Linked DNA regions of Lonchura striata. The protein of the gene in region 1 purifies or fractionates together with the protein of each later gene. This does not show direct contact. Links are inferred from orthologs where the notes say so. Each region holds a gene or a part of one and is shown in the gene's direction. Other genes may lie near its edges.

The links. Proteins that work in one complex are often made in the same cells at the same time.
Region 2: the proteins of ZNF644 (region 1) and ADNP purify together in Homo sapiens (affinity purification with mass spectrometry; 3 studies listed by BioGRID and IntAct, with this or other methods). This does not show direct contact. The link is inferred for Lonchura striata from reciprocal best matches to the Homo sapiens genes ZNF644 and ADNP.

The regions. Positions count from the first base shown.
Region 1 is NC_134611.1:20,147,568-20,157,706, reverse strand, and holds the start of ZNF644 (zinc finger protein 644), read left to right. Parts: upstream 1-5,957; 5' UTR 5,958-6,153; intron 6,154-9,206; exon of another isoform or gene 9,207-9,292; intron 9,293-10,139.
Region 2 is NC_134619.1:1,235,338-1,246,012, reverse strand, and holds the start of ADNP (activity-dependent neuroprotector homeobox protein), read left to right. Parts: upstream 1-6,832; 5' UTR 6,833-6,885; intron 6,886-7,377; exon of another isoform or gene 7,378-7,517; intron 7,518-7,944; exon of another isoform or gene 7,945-8,127; intron 8,128-10,675.

The DNA.
Region 1 (10,139 bases):
GCTAGATGACAATTTCTATATTTTCGATAGCTGAGCATAGGGAATAAGGCAAAACATTTTGTTTTGAAGGCTGTAAGGGTATTTTGTTTATATAAAGAAAACAATGTTTCTTTTGTAACTGTGAAACTTCCTATTAAAGGATGCATATAACTTTCAAAATAAGAAGACGCTTGTAACTGTAAATGGCTATGATATATTTGCTGTTCCCCCATCCACTTAGAGGCAAAACCTATTTATGAGGCTTTATTAAGTGCAAATAATTCCCATGGCTTCTGCACTGAAGAATCAGTTGCAGAATATAGTCTGATTTGCATATAAATGACATTATATGATTTCTGCTCAGAAAAGTATATTGAAAAATACACATTTCTGCATTGGAAACCTGATATTCACACATATTAAAGTTAGCTTGCATAACTTATTTTAAGCTGCTGCATGTTGATACCTGATCACACTTCTAGCTAGATTCAGGCTTTATCCTTTGAAATTGTGGACTTCTTCTTTTGATCTAATTAAGCTATAATTTAGAGAAACCGATTCCAAAACATTTATCTCATCAGTTTAAGCACTTAAAAATACTCAGAATATTCATCAGTAGAAGTGGAAAACTCCAAACTTAGCACTTTTCCTTATCTTCAATACTGTGAATTTGTGATGTGAGAGAATTCCTATTGTTTGAGTGAGACAGGAAAAGGCTGCTAACTTGCTCTAGTCACTTCAATAAATGGTAGGATGTAATGAAAGTAGACACAGAAATACTATTCTTTTTTATGCTTTAATCTGTCTAATGCAATAAGTAATACAGTGAACCTTGCCATTGAACTCTGTCTATTTTCACAGATTCTTATTGTATCCTGCTTTGCCAATACCTTTGATGGTGTTTTTTAAGCAGCCAAGCCACTCATTCAGGACAAGTGTCCACTTACTGACAGGCTCCTTCTGCTTCTTAGATCCATCCTAAAATAAAGGATGTTGAACAGACAGGCATTAAAAAGTTTGGAAGAGACCTGCCACACCTTGGTTTTCAAATTCCTGCTGGGCACAGGTCTTAATGAGCTGAATGCCATTGCCAGAAGCAACAGATTCTCTGCTTAGAGAGATTGATTTGCCACAGTGAGTTGTCATTAGTTTTGAATGCCTCATGGAGAGCTTGACACTGTCTAGTAAAGAAAAAGTGAACATAGTACTATCTAGAAACTTGGATGTGCAAATCAGAACCTCCTTTTTAACAATTTCTTTCAGTTTATAAAGGCTATTAAATTATCTGAATGAAAATGAGGCAGTACAATTTATTACTATTTTTCCTGGTTGTGGTGTAATATTTTAGCTGTTTTATTCCAGACTTGTTAGGTTCCTGGGTGTAGGAAATACATTTCTTTTATCCCAGAACTCTATCCTTGTGTCTTATGTGTTATGCCTGGGGAAGGTTTTTCTGTCTAGTTGGGAATTTCCATTCAAAGAATAGTCACCCAGCAGCTGTATCATTTATCATTTTCATTATCTTCTCAATTATAAAGATTTTAGGCTCTGAGGTCAGTTTAGTTTTTAAAAATTGTACTAACTGATGTAAATGTGTATTGACCAAAGCATCAGCACATTATCAAATAATTTTATTTCTTAATTGTGGTAGCAGAAGTGATAAAGAATGTGTTGGCCATTAAATAGATATGCTTATCTTGTGATTCATCACAGAGATGCGTTTCAGAGACTGGAGGCTTGCTTAGTGAGGAAAATAACCTGTTTTAGGAAGATAAGAGGTACAAGTGGATGGATCTCCCTCCCCGTCTCCTGGGTGTGATTGTCTCAGACAACCATATTAGCAGAAGCTTAGACACATTCTTAGCTCCTGGAATGAATTTGCTGAAGTGACAGTGCATACTGAGGATGATGGTAAAAAGATGGGCAGTGTATTCTGGAAGAAAATAAAGTTGGCAGCTTGCAATGGTGGAACACAGCTTCAGATAAGCATGTGGTTCAATAGAAATTAGTCTCTGTCCATAGACTTTATAGCAGTTGATCAGACCTGCTCTTTCAGTTCAAGCAGTTAATAATATCTCAGCACTGCAGCTTAAGGGATACAATTTTCAAAATTATTGTAGTGTGGGACCAATAAATTTCAGCACAAAGAAGGCACTATTCAATATAATTTATTTTAGATTTCCATCTAGGGTATGTTCTGACACTCCATATGAAAGTCAAATTGTCCATGTAAAATGGTTTTCGGGTGATAAGTTGACCCCTGGGGTTTTAGTAAAACAATAGGTTCAGAATTCCATCTGACTCTCCAATCTATAAAAGCTAGTTATCAGCTGTTTGAAGGATTTGATAAGAAAGCAAAAAAAAGAGAGCTTTTGTATAGTGACATTTTTCTCATTAATGGGGACAATGTAAGAATCACAAACTCCTTCTGGATTTGGTAGTAAATACTCTGCTGACGTGTTCCAGGAGATACTTGTTCTGTGTGAGGAGTGTATGTGTCTAATCCTCCACATGCATATGGAACAAGGAATATTTCTAATAGACATATACAGGCTGTCAAAGGAAGGACGTTTACCATGCCATCATCTGGCCATCATTTCTAAATGCATTCCACCACCAGAGCCTACTTCAGCAGAAGTTTTGCTGCAGAATGACTGTCTTACAGTGCCTAGAGACACAGTAGAATATTTAAAAGTAGTGCAAAACAAATGGTAACCTGAAAAGAAATGAGGTGTTATTTTAAGTTCTTGTCTGAACACTTGTATAGGACTTAGTATGATTTTTCCCCCTAGTTTTGTTATTTAATTGTATTTACTTGAGAATACATAAAAATAGTTCCTACTGTAACTTGTGACTTTGCTGTCAGTTTAAGTAGACCCAAAGTTGGGTAGAGGCTTTGTTGCATTTTGTTTTAGTAGATGGGTGTATCTGCATGTTCATGCAGCATTAGTGAGTAACTGGGAGAAGGTGACAGTAAGATAGGACCAGTCATTGCATTGTGACAGTAGAAGCAGCTTGCTTAATAAAATGCACTAAGCATGTTATGCTTAGTGCATTTGAGTGCCTCTTTGATTTTTCAGCAAGGAAAATACCTCCTGCTTTTAAAAAAACAACTGTGCTTAAGAAAATATTACTTTTCTACAGTCTATATAAAAAGGATAGTCTCAAAGCAAAACCCAAGTCCCTCCTCACTTGTTTGTGATGTTCCTGTACTTCCCCTTCCTGTGTGGGTGGTGAACATTGAGCTCACTGCAGAAGTACTGTTATACTCTGCTGCTGCAACTTTTGCAGGTGTGAGGAAGCTACACAGAGGGCACCTGTTTGCCTCCTGTGTTCTGGAAGGGGCAGACACGTCCTCCTCTAAGAGGAACTGAACAATGCTCAGGGGTGAAGATACCTGATGCTCCCAAGTTGGGTAGAGAAAGGAAATGAAGTGATCTGAGATGTTGTAGGCACGTATTGTGGAGGAGAGATTTTGCCTGTGGGACAGAGCAAACTTTAGAAGTGATAGGAGAAAGGTAGGTTTCCTAGAGCAGGTGTTCATGGCATCTCTGTGAACCATTTCAGAAATTTTCAGATTGGAAGAAAGACTGGAAAGAAAGATTTGCCCTGCAGTGACACAATGGAAACATTAATTTTCATGCTTTTTTATTAATTCTAGCTCTCCAAGAGATCAGACTTGTCGTGATTTAACGAACAATTCTATCCTCCCATTCCAGTAACATTTGCATTTATAAATAAGGATTGTGTGTGTGCTTATCAAACAGAAAACCATCTACCTAAACACAATTGCTAGTTCCAGGTCCTTGTGGAAACTATGTAAAAGAGCTAACTACTCTTCCACCTTACCTCTTCCTGGTTTTGTTTGGTTGATTTTAGCTTTATAGAGATAACTGGGTCTTAGTCCTGCAAGTAGGTAACTTATAACAGATGTGGGACAGGCCAGCTCCCTCCCATCAATAAACTGCTCGTTCAGGTGTATGTAAGCAGTACTGAGATCTACTGGAGTATGCTCAAAGCAAAGCATCTGTTGCATTCTTAAAGTGTTTTTCTTCTGGAAGAGCAGATATGAGAACCAGAATTTATTAATAACTCTGACTTCTGCTATTGACTGGATTTAATCTGCATTAATACTTTCCGAAGTAGCTATATATTTTCCTTTGGGTTGAGGTAATTATCATTTGTATTTGTGGCCCTAGTTAATTGTAGGCCTCACCTTTTGCTTACTTAAGCCCTGTGAGAAATTGTTTCCTTTCCTGGAGTGGGATGATGCACTGAAGGAAGTAAAGTACTTTATCTGCATTCCTCCATACCCCTAATAATGGGAAATGCTGGGCTGATATCATGTCAGGTGCTGTAGCTGTGTAAGTATTCACTGAAAAATCTGTGAGTGCAGCCATAGGTAGAGTTGGTGTCAGACATGAAAACATCATGATCCATCCCTGGAAGGAGAGTCTCAGAGCTCTGCATTAGGGAGGGCACACAGAGTAGCCACATGCCCAGCATCAGCCTCCTCCAGGACAGGGACAACAATCCATTACCCCAGCAGAATAAGTTTACTAAAGAAGCATCAGATAGATGTAGTTTTATAAAAAAGTCTCTCCCGTAACTTTTAATGAAAGAGTGGGGTATCTGTTCTAAGATGTTTTATTCAGGACATAACATGACTAAAAAGCAAAACAGGAGAAAAAATAGTGGACAAAGTATTGCCTCCTTCAGAGGCACAGCTTTAGGAATGACCTGTTTCTTACATGAAGCTTTGAGGGTGATGCTGAGTTTGGGGCAACCCTCACCTTCATGCCTTTATTTTGCCTTTTCTCCTCTGTAGACAAACTTCATGCAGAAGCCATTTTGTCTACTTCTATACAAGGTTGTGCTGACCGGCCAGATACTTTTGGAAGTATGACTGGAATGTGTTTGTGAAGATGTAGAAACCTAATCAGTAATTAAAATAGTCACTGAGGGTAAATCTGTGTTCTGTCAGAAAAGCTTGTTGACGCTATGGAGCTCCACTCTCGCCCTGTGCCACTCAGCTGTTGTACCAGGCCAGTTGTTCTGTAAGGTTCTTATGTGCATTACCTTTTGAGAAGCCTGTCTCTTATCTCTTGGCAATGCTGTTATTGCCAAAAGAAAGTGCATGTGTACAAGGAGCAAAGCAGACTCATGTTTCTTTCAACAGTTATATTTCACTCATCCTTGAACTGGAAAGTAGCCTTTGTTTCATGTATGTGGCAAGCGAACTACATAACATTAGTGAAACAGAGATCCTAAATCCTGTTTAGAATTGTCATTAGCAGCTACGTATATATTTTCAATTGTATTTTTTATTTGGAGTTTAGTCATAAGTCACCAAGATGTAGTTCTGCTTGTTAGCTATAGAGGTAGTTGACAGGGCTTGGAATAATCCAAGATTTCATCCCAGTTTCATAGCATTCCTCATTGCCTTGAAACTGTACTAGGCTTTGTATCTGTAGTGAAAGAACTAAATAAAGAGCATTAAATTGACGTTTCCACTCCTGTAGATGGAATGGGAAATGAGGAGCTCTTTGTCACCAACTGGAATGGGTAACATAATTCCAAGTACCATTTGTAAACAGCTGTGTCTTTCCTGCAGACCCTGACAAGAGATTTCAGACTGTGTTTCTTTAAAAAGGTCTTTGAGGAATACAACCCCCAGGATGCACCGCACACAAAGTGTTTTGATGTCTTTCACATGGGGCTCACATCGGACATTTCCCCTCCATTACTGCGCTCACAATCGCCGGCCTGAGGCGCGTGGAGGAATTGCCCATCCGCCGTGCAGGAACCGTGCGCGGAACGAGCCCTCGTTCACTGCGCACCGGCACAGCGCGGGGCTCAGTGCGGGGCCGGGCCCGGGACAGCGCGGGCCGCTGGCGCCGCGCCCGCTCCGCGCAGCCCGCGGGCCGGGCGGGCCGGAGGCCACGGCCCCGCCGGCCGTGCGCAGGGGCGGCCCGGGACGGCCGGGGTGCCGCCCTCGGGGCGCCGCCCTCCGGGGGCTTGAGCGCTGGCACTCGCGTGTCACCGTGCGCTCCCCCTCGGTGCTGGCACCAGGCGCAGGGGGAGACCGAGGTATGGCACAGCTTGTGCTGCAGGCACCCCATGGCGTGTTCCACGGTGCTTGTCCAGAGGGCTCTCGCGTCTCGGCGCTGCTGGGTAGGTGACACACAGACCCGCGGGCAGGGACCAAGGGAGGGACCCGGCCGCCACCGCCGCGCAGCCGCGCCCCGGAGGGACCTGGTGGCCCGGCTGCAGCTGGCCTTGCCTCGGCCAGGTGTTTCCGGACTTAAAGGGAGGCCAAAATACTGAACACCCATGCAAAAATGGAAGTTAAAAGCAAAGGCGCCGACTATATCGTAACACCGGCAAGAACTGTAACTTTAAATGGAGAGAGGCCTACGTAAGATGGCCAGTTCTGTGGGCTTGTACCAGATTGATAAAACGGTTAACAAGGGACTGATGTGCTGCAGAGGGAAGGTGACGTACCATCCTTTCGGGATTTTTCCAGACGAGTTCCCTTCTGACTCTTAATTTGTCCCCCTCGGGTGACAGCTGGGCCAGCTAGGGCGGCCAGCCGAGCTGGGGTACCATTTCCAGCCACTGCTGCCTGGAGCACCTGGGTGTGCAGTTCCTCTGCACCGAGCCCATCCGCGTCTGCCCGCCCCAGGCAGCCCATCACCCTTCCTGTGGGAAAGAAGGGAAACAAAAGAGCCTTTTGTTTCTGCCTTTAATGCAGAAATAGGTTATAGGATAGTTCTTGTCTCAGAATTTATTTTCTCCTGAAAGTGTGTGCCCAAAGCAGCTGTTGTGCTGACCTCCCTGCCCTGTGTGCGAGGTCCCGGTTGCATGCCGGTAGGAGAAGGGAGAGGTGGCGAGATCTGGCTTGGGGTCGTGGCTGCGACCTTGCTGGGTTTGGCTCTGCAAATGGGACCCAAGAGGCCGGCGGTGGCTCTGGGGCTGGGCAAGGCTTGGGTGTGCCTGCGGTCGGAGTGGGGCTGCGCATAGATCCTTCCCTACAGAACAGTTTTGTCAGCACATGGACTGGTACTGGCTTCACATTCCTTCCCAGAGTTCTCGAGATGTTAACTTTCAAAAGGGCGGTCTCCCTTGTGGATTTATGTCAGTGATTTTGGGTTTTAAACTATTCATGCATGAAAAATGACTTAGGAGCTGTATACTCCCATGTATGAATAATGACTACATGGGAACACAGATTACAGCAGTTTTGAACTGAGACTGCTGCAGTTTACATGCTCGCTTTGGGAACATTATGAAGCGTTTTTAAATGCTGGTTCATGTTAATGCATTGATTTCAATCAGTCTCTTTTTGTCCCTTTTGGATTTGTTCAACTTAACAGCTAGCTTGTTTCATGTTTGCTCTAAGATATGCTTAGCAAATTAGGCAAATAAAAAAATGCATGCAAAAATATGGTGCTATGCACACGTATCAGGTTTTTTATTTATTAATAGACTCCAATTTCCATACGATAGTCTGCCTTTTTTTTAAACTTTGGCTCAATGGATAGTTTATGCCAATTACACATAGTTTAACAGCTTTGAAATCTGTTTTTGCTTTTCTAATTCATGAAGACATTGATTCTGTTTCAGGTTTTAATTAAACTCTACACTGACTTTAAATTCTATTGTCCTTTTCATTTAAATAGGATTTTTGTTAGATCTTTAACAAGACCTCAGTGGGGTAATAAATCTAAGCAATTGTCCTTATTAGGAGTAGATTATCCTCAAGAGATGGAAAGTCACAGAAGTAACTAAAACCATTTGCAGAGACTGAAGTAAGGCTTTTTCTTCCTAAACATTAAACAGACTTGAAAATTACTTGCTTGGGCACTCAAATTAAATTAAATGATATTTTGTTTATTTTTCACATTTTTAGTATAGGCTATTTGCATTTACTTAAAATTTGAGTTTCATTGAGTAGAATTCACTCCTGAATAAGGATCCTTACTTTCAGTATACAAGCTGTAACTGAAACTCAGTATATCCTGACATTTCTTTTGTTAACCCTTGCAGTGCTTCTGTCAGGACCTGCTGACACAGTGAGTGTATTCTTAGTTCGTTGTTTTTGCCATAGAGATGAGTCTTGGTTGAAGAATTGGTTTTGTGTTTATCCCACAAAACCTTCTCCAGCAAAGAAGAACTGTGGAGTATGCAGGAGTGTGGAGCTTGAGAAAGATCTCACATGCTGGATTTGAAACACAGGTTCTTGGAGAAAACTTGTCACACACTCAACAGTTCTGTCTAGGTTTGACCTTACCGTATTTACATACTGTTGAGAAGTGGAAGGGGATATAACTCTAATGGTTCTCTTTTTTTCAGTTGTTCATTCGGAGGTATTCTCTGTTCTGCAGGTGCTCCAGGTTTGCTTTGTTCCTGGCTTTAGTCATTGGTTGACTTCTGATGGGACAAGGCCTCCTGGCAAGTCAAATCCTGACTATTTCCCCAATATTTAATTCCCAACTTCATCATACACATTGTGGTGCATTTTCTATAAACATTCCGTTGTATGGAAGCTCCATTTTGGGGGACACTGTTTACTAGGACTTCGTTCTACAAACCAACGGGCAAAGGCAGGGATGTTGTTCAGAGACACTGTCCCCGTGAGCCCTGCCGAGCCAGCGCCAACTCCCTCGCTGGCCAAGCCGCTGCCCTCCGCGGGAAGCAGGGCTGAGGGGACACGGCTGAGGGGACATGACACGGCTGAGGGGACATGACACGGCTGAGGGGACACGGCTGAGGGGACATGACACGGCTGAGGGGACACGGCTGAGGGGACATGTCCGCAGGGCCACGGCTGAGGGGACATGGCTGCAGGGCCACGGCTGAGGGGACACGGCTGAGGGGACATGGCCGCGGAGCCAGGGCCGCAGGAGGAAGCCGGGCTGCGGGAACGTGGCTGAGGGGACATGGCTGCGGAGCCACGGCCGCAGGAGGAAGCCGGGCTGCGGGAACGTGGCTGAGGGGACACGGCTGAGGGGACATGGCCGCGGGGCCAGGGCCGCAGGAGGAAGCCGGGCTGCGGGAACGTGGCTGAGGGGACACGGCTGAGGGGACATGGCCGCGGGGCCAGGGCCGCAGGAGGAAGCCGGGCTGCGGGGACACGGCTGAGGGGACATGGCCGCGGGGCCACGGCCGCAGGAGGAAGCCGGGCTGCGGGAACACGGCCGCACGTGACGCGCCCGCTCCGCCTCCGCCGGGAAGGAGCCCGCGGCTCTGCACGGCCCGTGAGGACCAGCCCCTCTCGGTTGTTGCAGCGCTCCCGGCTCTCAGCCAGCAGGTATTTAATGTCTCGGAGTCCTCCTGTCCGTGGGCTCCTCTGCCCCTGTCGGGCAGGCCGGCGTCTCTGCAGAGCCAGGTCCTGTCAGCCTCCCCACATGGCATTTGCTGTGCTTCTCTACTGAGGGACTTCACTTCAAACCTTCTTGCCTTCTACGTGATACTCTAGTGATACTCTGCGGCAGTACGAATTATGTTAGAGGAACATAGCTAATAAATATTAATTTCTAATTAGACTCTATTTGCTGCATATTCTAGGCAGCATTACAGGTTTTGAGCCTTCATCTGCCACTTTCCATATCACTCAAATGGCAGAGATTTTGGTATGGTAAATCACAGAGGAAGGTGGAAAATCTGATGCAAAGTGAGATAATGTAGTTCTTCATTTTTATGGCTCTTCTGTGCCCTGATAGAAAAATTTAAAACATAGAAGGTGCTGACAGCAGGTAAGTCACCTAGATCCTGCTCTGCTTTCAATATAAAGCCCGGGGAAAGTGGAGGAAGGGAATACATACCCTGGTTTTTAGGTTCGGATTGAAACTCACCCCTCCTTCTAAAGCAGTGTACTGGAGGAAGCGTGGCAAAACTAGGCTGAGTCCTGCAACTTATTTAATATGACTCAGTGCACAAGATTATGAGTGCTAAGAGTGTTCAGCCTTTGGGACAGAGGCTGGGGAATTAAGAGGTTCTTCATCCTATCTTGCATGGCAATTAGACCCGATTTAGGCAATGCCATACCTTGGGCAAATTCCACAGGGCATAGTTTTGCTCTGGATTCTTATCAGGATGTGAGATTTTCCCTCTGTTTTCCCCAGCAGCAGGGCCAGGAGTTTGTGGTACTGCAGGGT
Region 2 (10,675 bases), on another chromosome or scaffold:
GCCAGAACTGAGAAATCATGAAGCCCTTATAATCAAATTGCATTTAGAAGGAGGATGAGATTATTCCAAGAATGGCTTCATATATACATAATAAAAATAAGTCCTTTTTTTTTTTTTTTTTTGGATACCTGTGGAATTTGTGGACACCTGGATCAGAAGATTAATGGTGCGACAGGAGAAGCAACAAATATATTACAAATGCTGCCTGTTTTGCTCATGTTTGTCTGCATTCCATTAGCACGCTAGATGCAGTTGTTAATGTTAGAAAAACATTTAGAAAGTCTAGATAAATGATAAATTTATATTTCACAGTCAACACATTGATAAAAATAATTCAACAAAACTTGCAATAAAGGTTATTTTCTAGTGGACTGCTTTAGAGCTAGTCCTCTGTTCTCTAGTGGGGTAGTACAGATTCTGATAGCTTCTCCTTTGCTGACTGTCCAGAGCAAAAGCTACAGATGGAATTTGCTTTAAAATAATAAAAGATGCAGGTTTTGAACCCACATGTAACTGGATCACAGTGACTGAACTCATTTTGTGACATTTGCCTGTACTTTTTCAGAAAATTACATACAATTTCATTTGCTGCAGACTAATCAGAGCAATAATAGCAATAATATATACAGAAATACATTTCTGGATTTAAGGGCCAGTGAAATATGCAATAAATAGGTTTTATCTATTTACATCTCATTTGGAGGTTTCATGGCAAAAAGTAATATTTTAAGTTAAAAATAGTTACAAAGTTTTTAATGACCAAATAATGATGGTTTAGATATTTTTTTTTTAATTTACATAATGCGGATCATTTGCTGGAATGCAAACTAAGCCTCGTGAAGTTCATATTTTCCTCATTTTTATGTAGGGATATATAACTGAAGTCCAGTGTATGAATTATTCATCATCTGACTGCTGTGAATTAGCTTTCAGCTTTTAGAAGGTTCATGGCTACTTTTTTAATTATGAAAATTACTTGGTAAAATTCCTTCATTTATTGATGAGATCACGTTTGGAGGAAGGTGCTTTCACATCTCACATATCAGTCTGGGTCATAATACAGGAGTATTTTGTGTGCTGCAGTGTGTGAAAGATTTAAATGTGACAGGGCAACAGTCAGGTTTTAGGTAAATAGGTGAAATTTCTCACTGTGCTTAAAGGTGATGGATTTATCAGGGAAAAATGTGCTATAAAGGAACAAACCCAAGAGCTCCGTGGCATCAGGACATGAGCAGACACAACAGTGCCTGAAAGAAGGAAAACTGATCTCAGTGTGCACCACCTGCTTGCAGGAAGCCCCTCTGAAGGAGCTAACCCGTGGGCCCCGTGGGCAGGGGAAGCATTAGGGACACCCAGGCTCTCCTGCCTTAGTGGGGTCTACACACACACACACTTCCCCACACCCACCATGGAAACCACTCGGCTTTTCCTAGAAAAAGAAAGCCTTGTGATCTTGCTGTTCTCAAAATGTTAGTAACAGACTAGAGTGGAACAGCACTTCTATAATCTTTAGGGATCAGGTGCTTGGAACTCCATATAATGTCTTAAATATTCATGTACTAGGGATTTACATAGTGGCATTTTAATTTTCAGTTCCTTAATACCATTGCAATACTCTCCTTGCCTTGTTTTGGCCACCACAAAACACTGACTTGACATTTACTGAGAATTTTTCATTTTATGTCCTTGGCTTTACAGTTCCACATAAATCAGCTTTTCTTAATTACATCCATATTCATTTCCTATGAAGGCACAAATACCCTGCTAATGCACTTTCTCTATTATACTTTCTCAGGAATCTGTGTCTGCGAGCACTCAATCATCTGGCAGGAGCAGGAGCTGTAATTGCTTCCTGGCTGCCAGCAGTTCGGAGCAGGGCTGGAGCTGGGCATGTTCCACGCAGGGGAGAAGGTAACTCACGTTTGGCACCGTGGCTTCCCTGCCCCGAGCAGATTTAGGGGCTCAGGCACCAGGGCCAGCAGTTCAGTCCCTCTGCCCCAGAGGATGCTGAAGCTGGAACCTCCCAGACCCCAAAGCCTGGCTTGTTTGTGTTCTGGGGTGTGAATCCAGAGCCAGCCCCACACCCCTAGCTGCTCTCTTTGGTGAGGATTTTTCTGCTCTGAGGTTCAGGGGAGTTGGCTTCTCTTTTGCTTTGGGTTTTTGACAAAATCTGAGACTTTAACCTCAGCCTGCAACAAAGATGAACCTCGCTGCCAATATAAACACTCTAATCAAACAGATCTTCCAGTGGACTGTGCAGAAATCCAACTGCAAGGCTCCACAACCTTCTGCACATCAACAGTAAAAAATAATGATGACTAATCAATAATATTTATTCGAGGGTCTATCAGTACAAGCCTGGATTGGAATCTTGGCAGAAATGAATTCAGTGACAGATTGCCTGCTGAGTTCAGTGCAGGGATGACTTCAGCCACACATTTCAGTGGCTGGCATTCCAGAGCTCAGGCAAATGCTGATACCAGGAGCAGCAGGAGCAGGGGGTGTGCAGGGGACAGGACTGCTCATCAAACTCTTCCTTGCTTTAGAACTTGTTTATTACCTCCCCTGTGCCATGCTGCAGGAGACATGGGCAAAGAAAGAAACTAGTGCCAAGCACAGCAACTTTGAGCATCATCTCCTCCTCTGTTCCTGCCATGTTGTACCCCTCTCTCCAGGCATTGTGGCAATTAAAAACTTTCTTATAGACTGGTTGTCACTGTTCAGGGGAAAATATATTGGAACCAGAGAGAGAAAAATTAATTACACCGTTTAATCCAAAACTAGATCTGAAAACTTAGCCATTGAGAGGGATTTCAACAAAGCAGACAGCATAAAATGGGAAGTTATTCCTGCAAGGTGGTGGCACTGGCTGTTCAACAGAAACTGGCACCAATGCTGGCAGGTGTCTGATCAGCACAGGAGCTGGGTGGCTTAGTGGGTCTTAAAGATCATTGTGAGACCAGTGGTCCTAATGCTGATTAACTTACTTGTATTTATTATATAATTAATTATGTTGTGTGTAAAAGCATCAATAGTCATCTTAATTATTTTGTATTTGAATAAAACCCAAGCATGACACTGAGCTAGTAGTAGGATGAATCTGGGCACAGTTTTGACCTGAAGCAGCAGCACAACGCATGTGCAATTAAAGCTATTCAGCTTGGGAGTGCTAATTGCCTCCCCTCTGGTGTGAAGTGTTTCGTCTCTTACAATGCAGTGATTTTACTGATTTTTCCAGTGGCTGTATTGTTAGAAACAATACCCACTTCTGCAATAGAAAAAGTAGATTAAGACTATTAGCATCAACTTCTGTTTCATTTTGTTCACTCTGTACACACAGGAGAAAAATGATGTCAAAACTCCTTTTCTCCTTCTTCTGCACTGCTTGAATTTTAGCTTTACTATCAATCTTTCCACACAAACTTTGTAAATTCTCATCTTTCTTCCCCAAATCCCTGTTGACAGCTGTCACACTTCAAACCACCACAAGAACCCTCCTGAGCTGAATGAGAACAAGATCTTGTCCATCACTCATGACTGCTTTCACACCCTCTCATCCTTCCCCCATTTTCTCAGCCCTGTCACTGTAGATTTTACCCCGAGGCAGGCAGTGGCTCCCTTCTGCTCCAGCTTCTGCTGCCACATCTCCTTTCCCTCCCTTTCTCTCCCCTACCCTAAAATCAGAGGGGTGCCTGCAGCACCCCTCTGATGCACTGAATATTTCTGCCTCCTGACACTCTCCTTTCTATCTGGGTCTAATTTCATCCCCTCCCATGCCAAATTCCAGTTTCTACACTCTTCACAAATGTTTTTCCACACTGTAATCATGGACTGAGTACCAACATCATGGCTGGGAGTGTTCCCAGCTGAAACTCCTTGATATTACTGCTCTGGGGAAACTCTATCCACCTCTATTTCCATCCCAACCTTATCTTACCTTGTCTTCTGGTAAGTACATACAGCAAGACACAAATTTACTCAGATACCTTCACTTGCTCCCAGAATTCAGGGCAGGGAATGATGCCCAACAGCCTGTTCAGCTCTCCTGTCTGAATTGCAGGTCTCTGTGTTTGAGCTGTTGTGTCCTTTGCACAGATCTTTGTGTTGTGCTCACTCCTGTAAATATCTCTCAAATATCATTTCTATCTCCAGCTGCATTATCACATCCCACTTACACTCGGTTCCTCCAACCTTCAGACACTTCTGCTTACTCAAATCCAGCCCTTAGAGCAGGTCTGTGGGTTGTTCTTCTGGAGCTGGTGTATTTTTTATCTTAAGTGATGGCTAAAAAGTGGCCAGTGGTAAGGCACAAATTAAATAGTGTTCGTATAGGAAGGTGCTCAGGTGTGGGGCTGTGTATTTTAGGCAGGAGCAGACTGGCTCAAGCAGCCATGAAGTTAATTGAGAGTTTCTGAGTATGGTCCTGCCTTAGTGACGTTTCAGAATGTTCCCCAACATGCTTCAATAACATGCTTCAACAATTGTGCCATCAGAGAAAAATAATCGACTCTTGGAAGGCAAAATGATGTTATTATAGGAAAACCAAACCAGCTCTTTTTGCTTTCCTTCCTTGAGACAGATTCCACACAAGTCTCAGGGAACTCTCAAAGTACCTCAGTTCTAGGGGCTCTTTAACACCAAAGCACTAGCTTTGGTTTCCAAGTTTTGTGTATTTCCTGGGTTTTTAATTTACATTTCCATGTAAAAAGATTTTGTGACTTCCCGACTTCTTATGACCACTGATGTGAAGATGCCATGGGAGCAGCCAGTGAAACCCAGGTTGACTTGCAGCCACAAGCAGGGGATTTCTATGTCCCACTGAGTCAGAAAGTCTCAAAGCAGCCTCAGAGACAGAACAAAACATCACTAAATTCTTCATAAACGCTACTTCAGTGAATTGTGATAAACAGCATGTACAGATTGTCAGGACACCAGTCACCTGTAAATGCAGGAGATCCTTAAGTTACATGAAGTCTAAAGAACTGGTGACAACTTTGCTTCTGCACTTCAAGCAAGGAGTCAAATTTCCTTTCTAGCATTGTGAGCTTAAACTCCAACGTGTCACTGAACCAGAAAGGGTGTGAACACTGAGGATGGAGGGAATTACACTTTACTTCCTCCTCCAAGTGTTTGTGTCTTTCTGAAGTAACAAAAGCCATCCATTCCTGTCACTCCTAGAAGGGTTTTTAGAAATCATCCTCATTTGTTAAAGAGACCTTGAACAGCGTCAGGATCCACAAGGAAGACTCACATGTGGGCTCTTGTCCTGATCCAACATTCCTGCTGCAAATGGGATGTCCAGGGGCATCCACAGGTGTGTGTGACCACACGTGCACAGGGCTCACCAGAAAGATCACAGTCCCGCCTTTGGGCGCTGGCTCGTTCTCAGGGTGTTAACCCAAAGTCTGAAGGGACATGGAGGGATTCCTGGGGTTGTCCTGTGCAGGACCAGGAGCTGGACTCAACAGTCCTGGTGAGCGCCTTCCAGCTCAGCATATCCTATGGTTCTGTGATGAATTTGGATTTCAGAGCATGTAGAGCACATAGCTCGTGTCGCCTCACGGTGCCACCGTCCCAGCCCATGGCAACTTTGCCAAAGGGTGTCCCAGTGAGGCTGCCCTGGCCGAGCTGCGATGGGCACAACCCCAGAGCCAGTCCAGCTGGCAGGGACACAGTGGCTCAGCCGGTGCCACCTCCCTGCTCCAGCAGGGCCACCCCAGAGCCCGTGGCACAGGCCTGTGTCCAGACTGCTCTGCAATCAGACCCCAGAGCCTCTCTGGCCTCTGCTCAGGGCTGGCACTGCCCAGGGCAGTTCTGCCTCCTGGGCAGGGGAACTGCTGGGCTCAGGCCCTGCCCTGGCTCTGGTGCCACGGCTGGGCCCCGGAGCAGAGCCCGGGCCTGCTCTGCCCTCCGGCACCCGGGGACAGCCAGGGCGGAGCCCCCTCTCACTGGGGCTCGCGTCCAGGCTGGGCACCCCCAGCTCGCTCGGCCTTTCCTGGGCACGGAGACGCTCCAGGCCCTTCAGCATCCTCGCAGCCCCGGGCAGATGGACACGGCAGGACCACCGGACACCGGGGCCGGGCCGGTCGCCGCCCTGAGGCGCCGCCGCCGCACGAGCCCCGCGCGCGCTCCCGGGGCCGCCCCGCGGTCACGTGCGCGTCCCCGCGCTCGCGGGCCCCGCCCCGCTCGCGCCCCCGCCCCGGCGGCGGCGGCGGCGGCCCCTCAGGACGGGATGTAGTCCCGGCCGGGGGCGCGGCGGAGGGATCCCCGCGCCGGACCCAGGCGCAGGGCGCGGCGCCTCCTAGCGGGGCCGGGGTAGATCCCGCCGCCGCCGCTGCCGCCGCCGCCTCCGCCGCCATGGCCGCGGCCGGCCCGGTGCGCCCCGCGGGGGCCCCCCAGGGGCGGGGTCGCGTCCCCGCCCGGTGCGGCGGGCGCGGCGGGGCCGGTCCCGCGGGGACCCCCGGGGCTCCCCCGCCCCCCCCCCCCGGGGCGCGGCCCCCTCCCCTCCCGCCGGACAATGAGTCCCGTATGCTAATGAGGGTCTGGCGTCACTTCCGCTCTTTCTCGGCCGCCATCTTGGCCCGGGCAGGCTGTGGGCAGCGGGACCCGGCTGTATTGTCTGAGGGGCCCGGGCGCTGCCCCCGCCCGCGCCCCCGCCCCGGCCACCCGGCCCAGTCACCGCCGCCCCCGCCCCCGGGGCCGCTCCGCACCGCCCGCCCCGCACACTGCACCCCCTCCCCCGTCATCTCCCCCTTTGTCTCCCCCGCGCCGCCGGCGGCTCCGCTCCGCCCGCCCGCCCCGGGACCGGGCGGCGCCGGGGAGGGTCCGGCGCCCCCCCGCCCCCCCCGCCCCAGCCCGCCCTCGCTGCGAGGAGAGCCCGCTCAGGTAGGTGCGAGCGCGGGTCCGCGGTGCGACCCGGGCGGGGACAGCGCCCGACCGCCCCCTCCCTCCTTCCCTCCCTCCCGCGGGCATCCCGCGCCGTGCCCGCCGCCCTGCCCGCCGCACCGGGCGTGCGGAGCTGGCAGCGGCCCCTCCCCGCCCGCACACACGTTGAGGAGCCCCGGCGGTGCGGGCACCGCGGCGCTGCTCCCTGCCCGCCGCCGGCCCCGGCCGCCTCCCTTCCCCGCACGGACGCGTCCCGGCAGCCCGAGGGAGCGGGACCGCCAGCCGCCGGCCGCGTCCGGCATCCCTGGGTGCAGCTGCACCGGGCCCCGGCGGCGGAGTTGGTGCTGGAGCGGCGCCGGGGATGCGATGAATGGGAGCAGCCGAGGGGTCCCTGCCCGCGGGAAAAGGCGGGACCCGCCGCTGCCATCCCGAGGCGCAGCTGCGGCACGGAGCGCCGTTACCTCACCCATCCGTGCCCCGGGCTACGCTTACCGACACCCGTTTGCGAGACAAAGGCGGGGGACGCCAAACTCGGAGCTTCGCGGCCGCACCGGGCAGATGCCCCCGTGCCACGCACCCCCTTCCCGGGCGGCTGCGGCCCGGGCGGGGGCTCCGAAGCAAGTGGCAGTGCGTGCGCGGTGCCGGGGTGCCGGCGCACCCCCGGTGCCCCGGCAGCGGCCGCGGGCGTGACGCCGCGGCCCCCCCGAACCGGAGCGCGCCCGGCGGGGCGCTGCGCGGCGGCAGCCGGCAGGGGGCGCCCTGCGCGCCGGGCCCGCCGCGGCGGGGGAGGGGAGCGCTCCGGGGGCACCGGGGCGCGGGCCGGGCTCGGGGCTGGCCCGGCTCTGCGCACGTGGCCGCAGCCCCCGGGAGCGGCGAGCCTCGACCGCGGGGCACAGCCCCGTCACCGCTGGTCTTGGTGGTCCTTGTTCCTTGGGTGTGTTCAAGCCGTTTTGTAGGTGTCAAAGAGGTTTGCGTCCTCTCCTTTTCATTAAGTTAAGGGTTTTTTCCCTAGCTATGTTTCTGTTTATTTTTGCTGGTATTTCCTGTTTCTGTCTGGAGGTGTGAGGTAACGGAGACAGAGGATTCCCGCCCGTCAGGGTAGCGTGGACCGACCTTAGCTGGCTGCTGTGCAGCTCAGCCTTGTGTGCCTCAGCAGTGCTCCCTCCTGCAGGGTCTCCTACTCGGGAAAACTTTCACTTCAGGACTCTGCAAACTCATAATCACAAGCTGTCATCCCTCTAGGTGAGAAAGATGGATCAGTCTGCTTAAGAAACAGAAAAGCCTTTTTTTCCTGCTTTTAGTAACAAACCAAACCAAAGCTTGGTTCCTTTGCAGATGTGCAGTTGCAGATGTTGGGCAGTAATTTGATATCAGCAGATGGACATTACCATGATATGTGCTGAAATCTTAAAAGAGACAACAGACCAGAAACACCCTGTTGTTAAGAGAATTGCACCAGATGCTGATGGGTTGTAACATAATGGTTACCTTTTCTGAAGACTGTCACAGCAAATACTTCCAATTTCAGTCTAAATAGAGATGTCCTTTTTGACACACAACAAATAATTTGTTCTCCAAAATTGATACCAAGCTGGATGGTTTTGCACTATTTTTGGTGGTTAGCTGCCCTTTGCTCAAATTAGCATTATTTCTTAGTTAGCATTCAAGAGTGACTTTTTGGTATCCAGCAGACATGAGATGCTCCCAGGGGATGTCTCTGAGATCATTGAAAACTGATACCGTTTTAGTGCCCCATTACTAAAACTAATTTTTTTTTGTTTTGAATTGAAGTCCATCAGGCAGGTTTGTAGGAGGCATCTCTTTAGGTTACCACTATTTATGCTTCAGGGTGTATTGTCATGAAGAGCCTGCGGTTCACTTGTGTTGGGCTGTGGGAGGTAGGTGCTGTTGGATGTGCAGGGGAAGGTGAAAGGCTCCTCCTTTGCCTGTAGGTGAGACAGACCCAGTGCCACACTTGGGAGTGAAAAGCCTTCACAGGAGAGGAAGACCGAAGAGGAACTCCTGACTGTCTTGGAAAGTTCATGCCCTGCAGTGTTAAGCACCAGCTGCACAAACACAGCGCCCAGGAAGGTGTTTGTGCTCCTCAGGCTGAGAGGAGGAACGTGATGGATTTTCTGTGTGTAGGGCAGAAGGTACCAGTGGTCAGAAGTGCTTGCTGACACTGACACAGAGGTCCCTGTCCTTGCCACAGCGTGTGGGTTAAGTGTAAACTCTCACTTAACTCTTACTTAACTCTCACTTGGTGGTGCTGCCCAGATCCCTGCGCTGTTCTGAGCACCGTGAGCTGTAGGGAAATGCAGGACACGTCTTCTGGGGCAGCTGGGTTGTGCTGCTCACACGCTGCAGGTGAATAATGGCTCATTAGTCCCAGCTCAGCTTTGCCACTCTGTAATAACATAAATACTGAAAGTAAACATTGAAGTTTACAGTGGAATTCCTGGAATACAGAAACATACCAGGATCTTATCAGTAGTCATAAGTTATATGGTCTGAGTGTATATTTTATAGCTTGTTATTAAGACAGCAGCTGATTTGATTGATGCAAAGAAAGAAGTTGAAACAAGTGATTTTATGAAAGAAAAGATGGTGCTCCTGGGTTAATGTGTTTGTTTTAAGGTAGCTGCAAATAACATTTAGCAACTTAATAGGAGATGTGTTGGGTGCTTTTTGTGGGGTTTTATCTCCAGAAAGGGAAAGTCATCTTTGCTCTACTACTTGAGATGTTTAAGGGAAACAAAATTCTGCTGGGAATGACCAAAGCAGTATCAGACCTGAGAAGGACCAGTTTAAAGACTGTAGGAGAGGTGCCAGGAGAGGCAGGGAACAGCTCTGGGGCTGAGCTGCCCACTGTGTTGTTTCACAGGTGCCATTGGAGCTGCTCTACCTGCATGGGCAAAATGGACACATTTTTAAAAGTCATTAGTGCAGCTGAGTTTGTATATTAATAATGCTATGTTTAGTGGAATTATTTTCTTTAAGATGCATGCACCATGCTGGTTTAAAAACACAACAGCTGACTATGCTGGCCTGTATCTAAACAAGCATCACACAGTCTTTTTTTTTGGTATATTGAGTCAAGAGCTGCTCTGTGCCCAGATATACATATATATATATATATATATATATATATATATATATATATATATATATATATATATGTGTGTGTGTGTGTGTGTAAGGTATGTAAGGTATCGTTCCTATGAACATTATCGTAACAGGATAATTTTTAATGTGGAGATGGTTCTGCTCATATAAATAAATCTGTTGCTAGTGATGTTTCTTGATAGTGTAAAAGATGGGATGACAATGAAAGGTGCTGCTGTGAGTCTCTGCACTGGAAAAAAAAAGAACCCTTACTGATGTTAATTTAGTTTTAATAAAAATAAATATTGTACCTTTATTGTATGTGAGAGGTTTATTTTGCCTCACCTGGCATATTTGGGAAGAATGCCCTTGCTCTCCTAGGCAAGATGGCCAAATTGGCCTGTTCCTTTTGAGCTTTCAGGAAGAACTTAAACCTGGTTTGAAATTCAGATGGGTGTTCCAGATTTGAATAAAGGCTTCTTCCAGAGGGTGTGACTCCTGTTTTTCTACCTGAGGGCCATGTGCCTCAAGGCAAGAACTGCATTGTTCACAGCTTCACTGCAGCTCTGGAGTCAGAAGGCAAACAGGAGCTTGTGTTTAGTGTCTCTGATTTCTCTGTAGTGCTCTTGAATGTGAATGAGGGTTGATGGTTTGGAGTAAGAATGGAGTAAATACCATTTTTTAT